2 linked regions of the Pelodiscus sinensis genome follow. The protein of the gene in region 1 interacts with the protein of each later gene in a biochemical or structural test. Links are inferred from orthologs where the notes say so. Each region holds a gene or a part of one and is shown in the gene's direction. Other genes may lie near its edges.

What was found.
Region 2: of the proteins of DCAF1 (region 1) and UNG, one has a biochemical effect on the other in vitro, tested with the Homo sapiens proteins (2 studies listed by BioGRID, with this or other methods). The link is inferred for Pelodiscus sinensis from reciprocal best matches to the Homo sapiens genes DCAF1 and UNG.

The regions. Positions count from the first base shown.
Region 1 is NC_134721.1:43,464,591-43,471,681, reverse strand, and holds the start of DCAF1 (DDB1- and CUL4-associated factor 1), read left to right. Parts: upstream 1-4,028; 5' UTR 4,029-6,198; intron 6,199-7,091. UniProt on the Homo sapiens protein: Acts both as a substrate recognition component of E3 ubiquitin-protein ligase complexes and as an atypical serine/threonine-protein kinase, playing key roles in various processes such as cell cycle, telomerase regulation and histone modification.
Region 2 is NC_134725.1:36,986,446-36,994,402, forward strand, and holds the start of UNG (uracil-DNA glycosylase), read left to right. Parts: upstream 1-4,850; 5' UTR 4,851-5,053; coding exon 5,054-5,143; intron 5,144-5,718; coding exon 5,719-5,928; intron 5,929-6,037; coding exon 6,038-6,133; intron 6,134-6,606; coding exon 6,607-6,704; intron 6,705-7,519; coding exon 7,520-7,608; intron 7,609-7,957. Other genes in the region: DNA oxidative demethylase ALKBH2, read right to left, coding at 950-1,220. UniProt on the Homo sapiens protein: Uracil-DNA glycosylase that hydrolyzes the N-glycosidic bond between uracil and deoxyribose in single- and double-stranded DNA (ssDNA and dsDNA) to release a free uracil residue and form an abasic (apurinic/apyrimidinic; AP) site.

The DNA.
Region 1 (7,091 bases):
GTTAGGGTGCTGGAATGTGCTCAGGGCTAGGGTTCAGGGTTGGTTATGGGGTCTAGGGGGAGATAGGGCTGGCTGTGCTGAGCCACCTGATTTCACATCCTCAGGCCCTGTACCCAGAATCCCTTGTTGCACCCTATCTTGCACTCCCCTGCAAGCTCCGCCCCCGCACACAGCTCCCATTGGCAATGGGAGCTGCGGGGCAGAACCCACTGACAGAGGCAGCACAGGGATGTGGTGTCCCCTTGGCGCTCACTGCTATGTGGCTCCAGCCCATTGGAGGGCAGGGAGGAGGGAAGGACAGCAGGCAGGAGAATCTGGGGCCTTGAACTGCTCCCGTTCCTAGGTCTGTCGCCTCTGCCTGGTGTCTGTCCCCTCCTCCCCCCCGTCTTCTACTGCTGTTTGTTTTGTACAGCTGTCCCTGTTAACGTACCAAAGGACTGGTTGGCATGTTTCTTACTGAGAAGGTTCAGTTAGTTTCCTTCTTGCTCCTCACACTAAAATGGCATGATCCTGGTGAACCTGCTTGTGATTGGACTGGTCACACCCGTCATTCAGATAGTCAGCTGGTGTGCAGGAATTGTCCCAGGATTGCTAGTCACTCCAGCATGTAAGGAATTTGGAGCAGGCTCTGTGTCGCCTACAATGTGTACAGCTGTATTTAGGCAGGTGCAGGGTATCCCTACCCACTGCTGCCCAAACCCAGGGCCCTTTCCAGACACCTCGGTCCAATCGAAAGCATACAAAGGCAGGTTAAATACACTGAGGACAAACTGGCTGGCTTCACAGGCTTCTGGTGGCCTGAATCTGGTCCATTAAGCAATGTCCGAAACTCAGTGCCTGAAAACTAAGTACTGTGCATGGGAAATTGGTATAGAGGGAGGGCCGACACTCCCTGTAAACCCCCTTTGGGATGGGAGGGACTGGCGGAGGAGTATCCCTGACAGATAGTGACTGCTCTGCTATTGCCAGTTTCCAACAATACTTAGGTGGTTCTCCACTGTGGCTGCTCCAGAAGCGGGTGGCAGGTCGAGCTAGACAGCGCCAGAGTGGGGCTGAGTGTTTCCATTGCAGTGTACACGCAACACGGCAACCAGGAGTATCCGGCATGCATAAGAACGGGGAAAGGGTCTCAGGGCTGCACCATTGGCTGGACTGGGGTAGAGGCAGAGTGACTGCTGCTAGGTCATTCAAAGAAAAGCCTCTGGCTTTCCCAAGAGCAATGCCTCCTATTTCCTAACAAAGAGGCAGATTTGTTCAGTCCGTCTATAGCACCAAAAACTGCTAAATTACTGTAGATCCTTTAGGTTGCAAGATAGGATCAGAGTTTAGTCTCTATAGCTCAGCTCCTGCTCTTGTATCCTTCCATAAAGCATCAGCAGTTAAAGACATGAGTGCTCTACTCTGTGGTAGAGTGGGGGGACAGGTCCAAGTGCTAATAGGAGACTGAACTTCTCGCTGGTTCCTCTCACTGGACGTGGGGTTACACTGCAGGGGTCAGTATCCACCGATTCAGTAACTATCGCTACAGCCTCCCTTAACACAAATCGATAATTAACAAAAACACCCCCCCACAACACAACACAACACTGTCTACATGCTCCTGCAGTCAGTTAATAAAGCCCTATGGAAGGGCAGACTCACCTCGAAAGCACTTTCTCCTAGCCAGGCATGCCATAGCAGGCTGTCCTTCCCAGTGCCACCTGCTGACAGTCACTCCAGTCCAGACCTACCGCAGTTCAGGTCTCCTTGTAAGCCCTGGCCCAGTCATGTTTATTCCTGCCTTTTCTCTGGTACATCACACCCAAACCCACATGACAATGCCTAGTCCCGTCACCCTCTCTGCTCAGGCGTGAAGATAGACAGGCCTTCCCGGAGGGGCTTCACATTTGACCATTCAAACAAACTCCCACCCCTTTACCAAGTGGGCAGGCTCCCCCCCCCCCACAAGAACCCTTTCTCTCCTGCCGTTTTCAGACTCCCTCATCCACAGCTCCATTTTTAACCCTCATTTGGGTCCCCTGCAGTGAAAATCACCATCTTCTGGAAGCTTCACCTTTTAACTGCCCATTACAAGGATTGTTTCCATATTGCCAGTGGCCTTCCCTGACACCCTCAGCTTCCTAGATTTCCTGTGCAAATCCTGTATCTTCCTTCCCCCAGATATCATGCTGGGATTCTCAGAAGCTCTCCCCTATTTCTATTTCACAGCAGAGTCTCTAGATCTCCCAGGCACTATTCAACTTTCCACCACCCCTCAGCTGGTTTTCTTCCCAGATTTCTCTTCCAGGGCCTTGTGCTTCTTCCTTTATGCAGGCCCAGCTTTTCCCCAGCTGGGACTGATCTCCAGTTAGCCTGCCACCCTCTGCAGGCATCTGCAGCTGGTCTAAGTGGGCTCAGGTTCCTGTTAACCCCTGCTTAATCAACGTGGGGATTTATACACCTCGTCACAGAGCACAAATGGAGATGTGGAGGGTGGAGTTTAGGGTGAGGTTTCCACCTTCACAAGGGATTATCACACACCTGCATAAAGTCTCTCTGCAGCTGGGTGGCTTTCTGAAGACATGATCCGTTCTTGTTCTTAAAACAGGCCCTTTTGGATGGCTTGCTCAGGCCCGAAGGCGGAACCTGTGTTTGCCGCTGTTAATGTTTGTGAGTTGCGAGAAAGGTATTTGTCAGAACACGAGCATTGCCAATAATATTCTGGATGTTCTTTGGAAACAGAGCCAGAGTCAGCATCCTTGTGGGGTCCCTTTAGATCGGGGTCACAATGCAATTTACCTTAGGGTCAGTGCCCATCCCCAAATCCTCCTTGTGGGCCAGCGGGAACCCCGCTCTGACAGAGCTCCCCTATCTCAGCGGGGCTGGAACGGCTTCCGGCTGCCAGCTCTGTGCCACTGCCGGCATGTCCCTGCGGCCTGGGGGACACGTGTGCAGAGCTAACCTGTGTGCTTTGGGGGGTCCCGTGCCAGTTGCCCCAACCATTCTATGGACAGGAGGGTCCTCCCTTTTCAGCTTAGCCTGCGCATCCTTGGGCAGGCTGGGGCAGGAAACAGAGTCACCCCCCCACACTCACCGCGTCACCGGCAGTCTCAGGGAAGCGGAGCTACACAGCAGCCTGCTCCACTCCACTGTCATCTCCCAAGCAGCCCACACTGGAGCAGGGAGTAGCAGAGCGATTGGGCTGGCCTGGGAGATGAGGGTGGAGCAGAGGCTGCTGAGTTGCTCTGCTTCCCTGTGGCTCCCACCACCACAGCGAGTGTGGGGAGGCCTGACACCTACTACTGCCCTGTGCCAGGCCCCTCAAGGATGGGGTGCAGTGGGGGGGGGGGGAGGTGGAGCAGGGCTGGGAAGAGGCAGGATGGGAGCAGAGCAAAGGCTGGATTTGGGGGAAGGGTACAGATACCCCTCCCTCCTCCAAGGCCACAGGGACTCAGCGTGCCAGCAGCCATGCAAGGGCTGGATTGTGGAACTGCTTGGGCCACAGATGCCTCCTGGGCCGTGAGTCTGAGACCCTTGATTTAGCTGCTCCTCCTTTTCCATGAGTCTTTGGAACTTTTCAATGCTGGAACTGCTGGTCCTAATGAAGTGTGCTGCGGCGTGCTTGGGGAAGTGTATCCATGCCAGACATGGATCTTATGCATCCATCCCACTGGCTCTTTTATCTCTGCCTCTTACTTGCATTGACTTTTTTCTGCTCTCACATCTGACTGTGCATAGTCAGGACAGACAAGGTGTGTTTTGAACTGATCTAGCAAAAGAATTAATTCAAATAGTTCCGCACCAGCCTCTTACCACCTATGAACAGCAATTTCATGGCATTTCACCAGTTCTTGCATTCTCTGTCCTGCAGCAACTGAAGAGTTCAGCCTTGAGTCTGTATTTTTGCTGGGAGCATTCATGCCTAGCCCCAGTAGATCTATGGTAGGGGCCTGTGCACCCAAGGAGGAAGGAAAGGGTTAATGCAGACATTGGGAAACAGGAAGTGCTTCAGCTGAAGTTGATGACAGTGCTTATATCCTCAGAAGGGAGCTGGCTGGCTGGAAGAAAAATAGTCTCCCTGAGAGTTTGGAGGAAGGAGGCTGAGCCGAGACAAGCCAACCAGGGCTGTTTAGAACTATCCACTAGCTATCAAGAGAGAAGCGTTCCTATCAGAAGCTGGGTAAAGTAAGCTGGCTGTGGAGCTGTGTTACTATGTGAGCTTGGCCTGAAGCAATAGCAAAGGAAACTTTTGTAACAACTGGACCTGGCTTCACTTAGGAGGGGCTAATTCAGACTCTTAAAGGACTAGTATTGCTGGAATGAACAACTGTGCTATCAGAGCTCTCGCTGCTGGTCCAAGAAGTGGAGCTGCCTGGTTGTGAATCCCTGTAAAGTGTTGCCCTAAAGGTGAAATGTAAGACCCAGTATACACTCCCTGGCCAGGAAACAAACTGGTGCCCGAGAAAGACAAGGATTGATGTGACCCACAGGAATGGATACAAGCTGCCATTTTGCAGCAGAAGTTGCTGGTTCAACAGAACCAGCAGGAGCCGCAGCTGCTGGCGATAGCTAGTCCTGTTGATGAATCCGGTCGTCTTATTCAACCCAAATGCATCAAGCCGGGTGGTCTCCATGGCACCAGGCCTTTTGTTAATTAAGATGTGACCAGTCGATGACCCAGAAGCCTTCCTAGAGGTTTGTGAACGAGTGGCCATAGGTACTTGTAGGACCTCCAGTCTGAAGGTTTCTGCTCTGCATCAGCCCTGTCTGAACCTCAAGCTAGGGGCATGTGAAACTGGACTCGCAGCAAGTGAGAGCTGTCGTTCTCCTTCCATTCAGCCTCTTCTGTTTTGGGGGACATGTCTCCGGTTGACTCTTCTATTCCAACATTTGCCTTCTCTATTGCAATAAGGGAAGAGCAAGGTGGTTGCAACCCTGGATGTGCATATTTACGACACATACAGATCCACGTTCTTCTGCGGGTTGAAATGCTATGATTTAGCAATCTCAGAGACTTCAGTTCCAGGAGGAGAGCGACCCGACTGGGAGAAGGCCCAAAGTCATCGTTATGGTCTGGCGAGAAATAGTTAACGCTCGATTCAGTCTGCCCCTCCAGTGGGACCGATAGTTTTGGAGCAATCAATGCACCTGTTGCCTCTTGGAGCGGAAGAATGGGTGTGCTCGCATCAGGCTGAGACTGAACCATAACATTTCTCTGAAGCAGAGCTGGCAGTGGAGCAGTGGTAGCTCAGTTTAGCTATAATCTGGGCCTGCTCTAGCCTGAGGTAAAACTGAAGGGACAAGTTACAGAGAGAGAGAAAACCCCTCCACTCTGTCTCCAAAGGACTTAAAATGTTCCAGTAGCTTTCAGCTTAGTCCCTTGCTATGCAGTGAGGAAACCTAAGCAGGGTTGGAAGCAATCTTACCCTGTTGGCAACTCTGAGAGGATGAAGCACTGGAGAATTTGCATTTCCACTGCTGGAAAGAGAGGTGCCCCCTGCTACAGAAGATGCCCGCCAGTGGAATGGAAGCATCACTTTGCGAGATGGATCACAGGACAGGTCGGGATGGGAATCTCTCCTTTTCTTTCTCCCAACTGGATTCTCGTGCAAGCTAAAGAATCTAAGCACTGTTGGATTCTGCCTGCAGCTAGACTGTCATGAAAAGGACTTAATCCCATTGGCCCTAACCCCCTCAAGAATTGAATCCCACCTATGGGACACTTGAGGGAAGGTGGAAAAACCATCCCTTTTTGAAAGTCTGTCAATATGGCACCTATAGCCCAGGATAGGAAAATGACATATCTTGTTCATCCTCAAGGACTACTGCTGGAGGTGGCCGAGGATCCAGAGGAAATGGAAGACTGCTCTCATAAAACCTTCCTGACATCACGTCCCCTTACAAGATGAAGAGTCCTTCCCAGCAGAGGTTTGGCCCTACAAAACTAGAGAAGGTGGTCGGAAGGGAGGTGCACTTGCGTAGAGAAAACGGGGAGTTGTGTGACTAAACAGAAGAACAGTGGGAACTAAGATGGGACTGGACTACAGGGAACGAGTCACTTGAGCATTGCTCTGTTCTGCTCATTCTCTCTGAAGCATCTGGCACTGTCAGAAGACCGGATCCTAGATGGACCCCGTATGGCCGTTCTTATATCCTTAACAAACCCGCAGAGGAAGAATGAATGTCCATGCTTCACATCCGTGAAAGTGAAGTGCAGAGGTAAACTCAGTCTGGGAAGGTTGGTGGGTTTATCCAATAGTATTCTAGAACAGAGGGAAGAGGATTCCTTCTGCCCCCTTTGAGTTGCACATAGCTGTTACAGAAACAGTCTGATTTTGCTTTCTACATTTTGTGCTAAGAACAGCCTATTATACAGGATGATGAAGGGAACATCCAGGGCCCAGGAGAACTTAATCTACCTTGTAAACATAGTACCTTGAATTAGCAGTCTCCTCCAAGGAGAAGAGACAACCGAGGTGGAAGAATACCTCTTCCCAGAGCGAAAGAAACTGGATCTAGACTTGATAGCTCAATTTTGTTATGCCCTGTTTGATCCAGTTGACACAGACCAAGTTGGTCTGACATGGATCCAGAACTAAGTGGTGTGACAATGGCCACACACCAGTACTGGCTTTGATGGGTGCAGCAGTGAAAAATAATTAGAAGATGAATGTGGGTTTAACTGAGGAATTGCATAGTAAAGCCCCCCCCCCAATTGTCCGGGTCTAGAAGCAAAATCGCATGAATCCACTTACCATTTGCTCTTAGATATATGCACTTCCTAAGAGGATATATACATGCCTACTCCATGCCATGAATGGACATGTGATGAAAAGATGCTGGCAAATCCTGCACACTAAGTTGTTACAGCAGCCCGACTCTGTCCCCTACTCTAAGCCCTAGCTCATGTTCCCTCCCTGAGATTAAATAAACTTGTCCAAGTAATTTGTGCAAGGACAGAGCCAGAACTGGAGCAGGTCAGTCTCCCTTTTTGCTCTGTGCCTGGTGAAAAGCTGCCCTGTGGCCTAAGCAAACTGCTTTGAATGCTAGAAAGAAGCTGGAGCTGGGAAGAGAGATTGACCAGTATTCATCAATATTGCACTTCATGGTCG
Region 2 (7,957 bases), on another chromosome or scaffold:
GGGAGTGTGTGTAATAGTGATGTTAAATGGAAATTAATCAACTATTCGATTAGTTGACAAGGCATCTTCACCTTCACCCCCGTCAGCTCTTGCTACACTTCAAAGGCCAGGGAACACCGGGCCCTCAGGGGACTCAAGCTGGCCCCATGCTCCCTGCTTTTGAAATGTACAAGAGCTCCCCTTGCTTCTGCCTTTGAAATGTAGCAAGAGTGGGACTCTTGTAGGTTTCCAAAGCAGAGAGCATGGGGTCAGCTTGAGTCCCTCGCTGGCCCCTTGCTCCCCACACACTACATTTCAAAGGCGGAAACACCACCAGTTCCCCAATGAGATTTTTTTCCCCCACTGGCTTTTAAGCCAGCTCCCTCCAGCACCAGCTCCTGCTCCCCCACCCTTGCTGCCTCTATCAGAGAGAGGCAGCGAGGCGGGAGGGAAGCAACTAGTTGCTTATATCCCTAGTAATCGACAGGACTAACTGATAAACCCAGGCTGATCAGTTAATTGTGTAGTAATCTATATGTTCACATCACTATTAGAGACTAACAGATTTTGGTCTCTAATGTGCCACAGGACTCATTATTCTTAGCAGATAGAGACTAATCCAGCTACCCTTCTGAGACTTAAGAATGTGAGTAAGCCCACTGAAGTCATGTGCTTAAAGTTATGCACATGCATATTTGAAGGATCAGAGCCTACCTTTGCTACTTAACTGCTATGGATCTGATGGTACAAACACATCTACCCATTGGGATCTTTACTCCCATTAAAGCCAATGTGAATCCGCTTAGGAGTCAGAGTCTGAGTGTGCAGATTGTATACTATATAGCATTGGACCTTACACATACAAAAATCCTCTCCCATCCCCCCCAATCAATGTTGCTCCTAAGTCATAAGGCAGGATGTGTCATGGCATTAGAGACAGAAGAGACATTAGATCTATTAGTCTGTTTACCTTCAAAATATTCCACTTCCTTTTCCAGCTCCTGGAAAATCCTGTCAGCCTCAGCTTTGCGGAACAAGATCCTGTAATCACAGTTCAGACCCTCTGCCCGGATTTGCTTCCATGGAGAATGCACCAAGGCCTCCTCTGCACCTGGCATTTCTGAGCAGGCCTTCTTCTTTTCTCTCCCATCTCTCACACAATCCAGCTCTCCTCCCTTCATGTCTAAGGGGGCTTGTTCATTCTTGCCTGGAAAAGGCCTTTTGACCACGAACTTATCCATTCCTAGCTGCCCTTAAGAAACAGCCATCAGCCTGCAACTCCAGGATCTGATGGGAGTTCACTGCTGATTTTGGACTGCCTAGAACCACAGTGGCTTGGAAGATTTTAAGTGCTCCTAAGTAATAGGGACTTAAAAATACCTGCATGTGAATCCTGAGATGGGTGTCACTGCACCTCTTTAGGGTGGAGCATGCAGTCACTCCAAGGTCATCCTCAGAGTCTGGGCCAAGCTCCTAGAACCAGGCAGATCCTTGATTAGGACTCCACTGAACATGGCCTGGCTGTCAGCTTGCTAAGGATCTTCAGGCCCCAGAAACAGCTCCTGCAGGCCTCATTTCCAGCAGCAGTAGCTACTTCCTGCTGCAGACACTCAGCCAATCATTCCACCCTTGCTCAGCTCAGTTTTGCTGTGAATCCTAGCAAGGTCCACTGGCACCACCTACTGGATCTTCTTGGAAGCATTTATAAATTATTAGAAACCATTATCTTCCTGATTCCTCCATAATATTTATATGGCATCATACGTGTACACAGCCCTCTTTAACTGGTGAGTGTGCCAGAAAATGTCATTTATTGTGTATGGCACTGAGGACTTCCTACAAAGCCGCCCCTCCTTTAATCTATTAACCAGCCAAAAAATGTTTACTAGTTAACGAATTAAACAGGGTTTTACGTCCCTAGTTCAAACACAGAATAGTAGACTGCCCTGTGCCAAAGACCTTATAATCCAGATAGATCCAGGTAGGGAGAAAACACCAGCATAGTGGATAATGAGATAGTGGCAAATGCAATGGTAGTACCACATTTTTTAAATTTATTTATTTTTGGTGTAAGGATACTTAAAGAAAATCAGTGAAATACAAAAGGGCAGAAGAGGGTAAGAGGCATTGTCACTTTAATCTTTCCATACTTATTTCTCTATTTGTAAGTTAGGGATAATAGCAGCTCATGGGTAGTACAGAACACAATGTTTTGTTATTTTTTTAGGTAGTCTCTCAAGTGAGCCTCATCACTGCTACATCCACTATAAAACTGGTGGGCTGTGTCTATACTGGTGCGATCTTGCACCAGAGCTATGCAAATGAGGCTCAGCGTGGAATATCGCCAAGCCTCATTTGCATAACTAATGAGTCACCATTTTTGCGGAAGAGGCTCTTGCGCAAGACGGAGCTGTCTACACTGCCCCTTCTTGCGCAAGAAAAACCCTCTTGCACGAAGCCGTTATGCTGATTATTTTCAGGCATAACGGCTTTGTGTAAGAGGGTTTTTCTTGCACAACAAGGGGCAGTGTAGACAGCTCCGTTTTGCGCAAGAGCCTCTTCTGCAAAAATGGTGGCTCATTAGTTATGCAAATGAGGCTTGGCGATATTCCACGCTGAGCCTCATTTGCATAGCCCTGGTGCAAGATCGCGCCAGTATAGACACAGCCATACAGTTAGTCAGAGGGGGTCAGGATTTACTGTTACGATGTCCTTATAGGTTTCTGATGCCATGGATGATGATAAACCAGAAGGCTGCTTCCGTGTGTGCTCAATGATGTGTGCCATGTAGACTAGTGCACTTAGTCTGCATGGCAGACCCCAAGAGAGCCCCCAAAGACCACAAATCAGATAAGGATTGAAAGTGCCAGGCCAGGTTTATTGTTAAACAAAATAAAGTGATAGTTGTCCGTAGACTTTACCAAACCACTACGCATATGCGATTCGTAACAATGGAATGACTCAATCAATGGAAAATTTCCACTGCCCCCTAGATCATCCACAGACTGTCCCCCCAAAATACCACTTTATATACAAGTACTAGCAACTTATACATCACTCCTGACGTAACAGGTTGCCACTCTTTGATGCTACTTAGATACCACTCACCATCCTCTACCTCGTGGTTTGATTAGATCTTTATCCATCATGCTGTCACTTTAGAGCTTTTCCTGAACTTGGGTAGGTATCTGTGGGGAGTGTAGGTACCAAGGTCTTTTTAATTAGCTAGTGGTACCACATGCTTTCAACTTTTGACCAGTACCAATTACTGTTTTTCAGTTGATACCTAGCACCAATTACTGGTCTATACGTGGAATCTATTGCCATTTAGCGTTTTGCACTCTCAGTCCTGTTCGTGCCCAAGTTCTGTGAGGAGGGGCCTACCTCCTGCTCACAGCTTAACTTTGTTTTGTTAGCCATGTTTTGTCCATTGTTAGCTAGGTCTCAGGCCTCAAACCAGGACTGTGCTACATAGGCTTTTGTTTTAGGCCTTCATCTTACTACAACTGGTCTCTCTTGTCATTTCCATAATTCTTCATGTATTTTCTCTTTCCTCTATGAGGTTTTCAGCTCCTTCAGTCAGGGTTGACAGAATCAATTACTTAGCATATGTAAAGAGCTCTGAGGAACCTATTACTCAAGAGTTAAGTTATTGCATTTTGCTTGTTAAAGATCCAGTTCTGATCTAACAGAACTCATTTACAATTGAACTGCATGGAAGCTAGAGATGTCAGTCTAAAAACAAGATTAGGGAAGGTTGGGAATGGACAAAAGCTGAATGTAAGAATAGAAGGAAGAGGTGTGCAAGTTCACTCTGTTTTCTTGAGATGACAAACCACACCAGCACAGCCAAAGCTTTCAATGGGTAGAACTTGCATGCCATGTGGATAGGAGAACTGTCCTACTTGAGTAGGAGCAGATTTGGAATTAAAGCTCACATCCCTTGCTGGTGCCACCGCTTGCTTTGTTCAGGCCCAGCTGTTCCAATGAAAGACTTCCTCAAAGACTTCAGATCAAAAAAGGAAGTGGGTCTGGCCCACGAAAGCTCATCATCTAATAAACCATCTTGTTAGTCTTTGAAGTGCTACATAGTCCTGTATTTTGCTTCAGCTACACCAGACTAACAGGGCTACATTTCTATCACATCTCTTCCAGAATAGTAATAGAAATGTAGCCCTGTTAATCTGGTGTAGCTGAAGCAAAAAACAGGACTATGTAGCACTTTAAAAACTAACAAGATGGTTTATTAGATGATGAGCTTTCGTGGGCCAGACCCACTTCCTCAGATCAAATAGTGGAAGAAAACAGTCACAACCATATATACCAAAGGATACAATTAAAAAAAAGTGAACACATATGAAAAGGACAAATCACATTGCAGAACAGGAGGGGGATGGGGGGGGGGAGAGGAAGGTAGGTAAGTGTCTGTGAATTGATGATATTAGAGGTGGGGAAAGTTAGATGTCTGTGAGCTAATGATATTAGAGGTGATAATTGGGGAAGCTATCCTGGTAATGGGTAAGATAGTTTGGGTCTCTTCCAGAGGCTCTTTAACTGCCTCCCTCCCTGGTGCTTCCACCCCCCTGCCTGCAGCCACACATCACCTGCCCCTGTTGGAAACTGGATCACAGTGAAACTGGGGGGGGGGGACCATGAGGAGAATGGGGGAATGAGGGGGCACGGGGGTACTGAAGTGGGGGCAAGGATGGAAGCCTGGGGGGGCAGGGAAGATGGGCTGTGACTGGAACTAAAACAACGCTCTCTCCCCCACGTGCGTGAGTGCTCGCAGGGGCGGGGCACGGCTCCACTGCGCACGCGCCCACGGTCCCCAGGACCCTCTCAAGCACGCGCTACTGCAACGCTCCCCCCTCCCCGCGCATGCGCGCTCGCTTGGCGCCAATTTCGCTCGGTCCTTCAGCCAGGCGGCCGCCGGCCACCATCTCCGCCGGCTCCCGCGCGGGGAAGGGGCCGCCTGTGCCTGGCTGGCAGGACCGTCGCCACCGCCGCTGCCCCTGTGTGGACGGGGCCGCCCCTGCCCAGCCCGCCCGACCCGCGGGGCTCAGCCGCCGGCAGCATGATCGGGCAGAAGACGCTGCACTCGTTCTTCCGCGCGGCGCCGCCGAGGAAGCGGGAGCGCTCCCCGCAGCAGGGCGGGGAGACTGAGGTACCGTGAGGGGCGAGCGCCACCAGAGCGTGTTTAAAGGGCTCCCCCGATCAAAAGCGGCGCCGCTGTGGGGATTGGCCAATAGCAGGGCTCTCCTTGGCCCGCGGGCGGGCCGATACGGGAGGGGGTGGAGCCAGGCTGCTTGGCCCTGTGGTCATTGGCTGGTTTCCATTCTCACTGTCCAATGGGAGGCGGTGTCTGGGCGCTGTTGATCCCGCGGAGAGGTCAGTCGGCGCGTCTTCATAGCCAGGGGCCAATAAGAAGAGCGGTAGCTCTGCTAGTGGCCCATGAGGAGCGGGAGGGCGGGGCTAGGCTGCCATGTTGGGTTTCTCCCTCCCCTTCCGTGACTGAACCTCCAATAGAAAGAGGCGTTCCCGTGCGGCGGGAGAGAAACACGCGCGGTTTTCCCGCGAAGTGGCCATGTGCTTGTCACTAAGCCCCGCCCAGGCTGTCCCCCGCCTCCGCCTCCCAAGCCGCCCTGCCCGGCTCCCCTGACTCTTTCCCCTATGGGCCCGGCCAGGACCCGGTTCCTCCAGGGGCCGGGCCGTAGCCCTCTCCTGTGTCGCCTGCTCCAGGCCAGCTGCGCCAAGAAGCTGAAACCGGAGGGACATGACTCGAAGGCCTCGCCCCGCTCCCCTCCGCTGAGCCCCGAGCAGTTGGAGCGGATCCGCAGGAACAAGGAGGCGGCTTTGCAGAGACTCGCTTCGCGGAGTGTCCCCGCGGGCTTTGGAGAGGGCTGGAGCCGGCAGCTGGCGGGGGAGTTCACCAAGCCCTACTTCTCCCAGGTGAGAGAGCGCGGCTTCCCCCGCGGGGAGCATCGTCCTGTAATTGCTCGGTGCCTGCCCCTTTCACTCGCCTGCACTGACCGTGACCCATCCTGCTTCCCCCTTCTAGCTAATGGCATTTGTTGGCGACGAGCGAAAACGGCACACCATCTACCCACCCCCGCAGCAAGTTTTCACCTGGACGCAGATGTGCGACATCCGAGATGTAAGTTCCCCAGCGGAGACCCCTGCTGGGGGGAGAGATGGGGTTTGCTGTGTTCTGGTGTTTTCAACAAAACCATGAAAGCTGTGTTTGCAGTCTGGCTGGCCAGGTGTTCGACTTTCATGGAAACCCAGTGCTTTAGGATGTGAAATAGTGATAGAAATGTAGCTGTGTTAGGATGTGAACACTGCTTTTTCTCCTGTCGTGTTTTTGTATACTTTTACCTTCTTTTTCTCACCCAGTTCTATGTGTTGATGATCTTCATCCATGATTGCAACATAGCACTCTTGAAAACTTTAGTTGTTTTCTTCTTCTCTTTTCTCTGGCCCTACCCTTTTCTATATTGTTTTCTTTCAGGTGCACTTTGGTTCTGATTTAGAAAGTTTTGCTTTTTTAGCAATACATACAAGTCCATATATTTTAAGATATTATGACATTTTGCTGGGCTCTCAGCACTAATTAGCATCTGTGTTCAGGTAAAGGTTGTCATCTTGGGACAAGATCCTTATCATGGACCCAGTCAAGCTCATGGACTCTGTTTCAGCGTCCAGAGACCTGTTCCACCTCCACCTAGGTATGACTATGCTTTTAGTTATTTAAAACTCTGCCACTGTTTACTGGATAGGTTATTTATAGGAATACATTATTTGTAAGTGACTGTCTTTGAGATACATGTCTTGTGACACTGAAAAAATAATTTTATAACATGACCAAGTACTTCTACTTATTGGGAAGTGGAAAGGTAATCATAAGAATAACTCATATTGAATTTTTAAAGTGTATACTTTCTGGGAAAGTATTACTATTGAAACAAATAAGTAAATTTGGACTTGGACTTCTAAGATGGTGGTGTATTCCAAGGATTTAAGCTCAATCCTACAAAATTGGGTTTCCATATTGAGCCAGTTGTAATGTGAGAGCTTTATATAGGAATGGCCATCAGTTTGGTGGAACAAAAGAGCTTTTCTTGTTTTGGTTTCAGAAAGATCTTTATTTTTTAAACTAGATTGGATTAAATTTGCTTGTTTTCTTATATTGAATAAAGGCACTAGCCTGTGGCCCTGTTTACTCAGGCCTGCATCCTGCAAATCCTTAAGCAGAAGCTTAACTTCACGTAGATGTGTAGGCCATTTACCTTCAGTAAACATTTGCATAAAAGTTAATAGGTCCAGTTAGAGGTAAAGAAAAGGGCCCTGTTGTACATATTAAATACATCAGATGACTATAACTTTCCTAAAGGGGAGTTGAATGAAGTGCCTAGAATGCTAAATCAGTTTTTTAGTTCATGGCAATAGTTTCTACTGAAATACACAAAATCATTAGTTTGTCTTAATTTGATTAGTTTCACAGAAATATATTTAAAATCTTTTCCTTTATTTTTGTTTGTAGTTTGGAAAATATTTACAAAGAGCTGTCTACGGACATAGAAGATTTCACCCATCCCGGTCATGGAGATCTAACTGGGTGGGCCAAGCAAGGTAATTAATCAGTTCAACCTTCCTGGATTCTCGTTTAGGCTGTGTCCCTATTAGCACTCACATTGGCAAAGTTTATGGGGAAAAAAAACCCAATCCTGAGCAGCCTAAGGTTTACCAGTATAAGTGCTCAAGAGCACAGCATTATGTCAGTGAGAGATGCTTTCCTGCCAGTGTGGCTAGCATTGCTCATTGAACTCGTTTTATTGTTTCCATGGGAAAGCTCTGTCCCATCAGCATAACACAGCTAGATAAGCACTCTTATAGTGACACAGCACCGTCAGTACTGCTGTGCCGTTGTAAGCTTTTATAGATGTGGCATTATTGGGCATTTTCCTTCTCAATGGGTGCA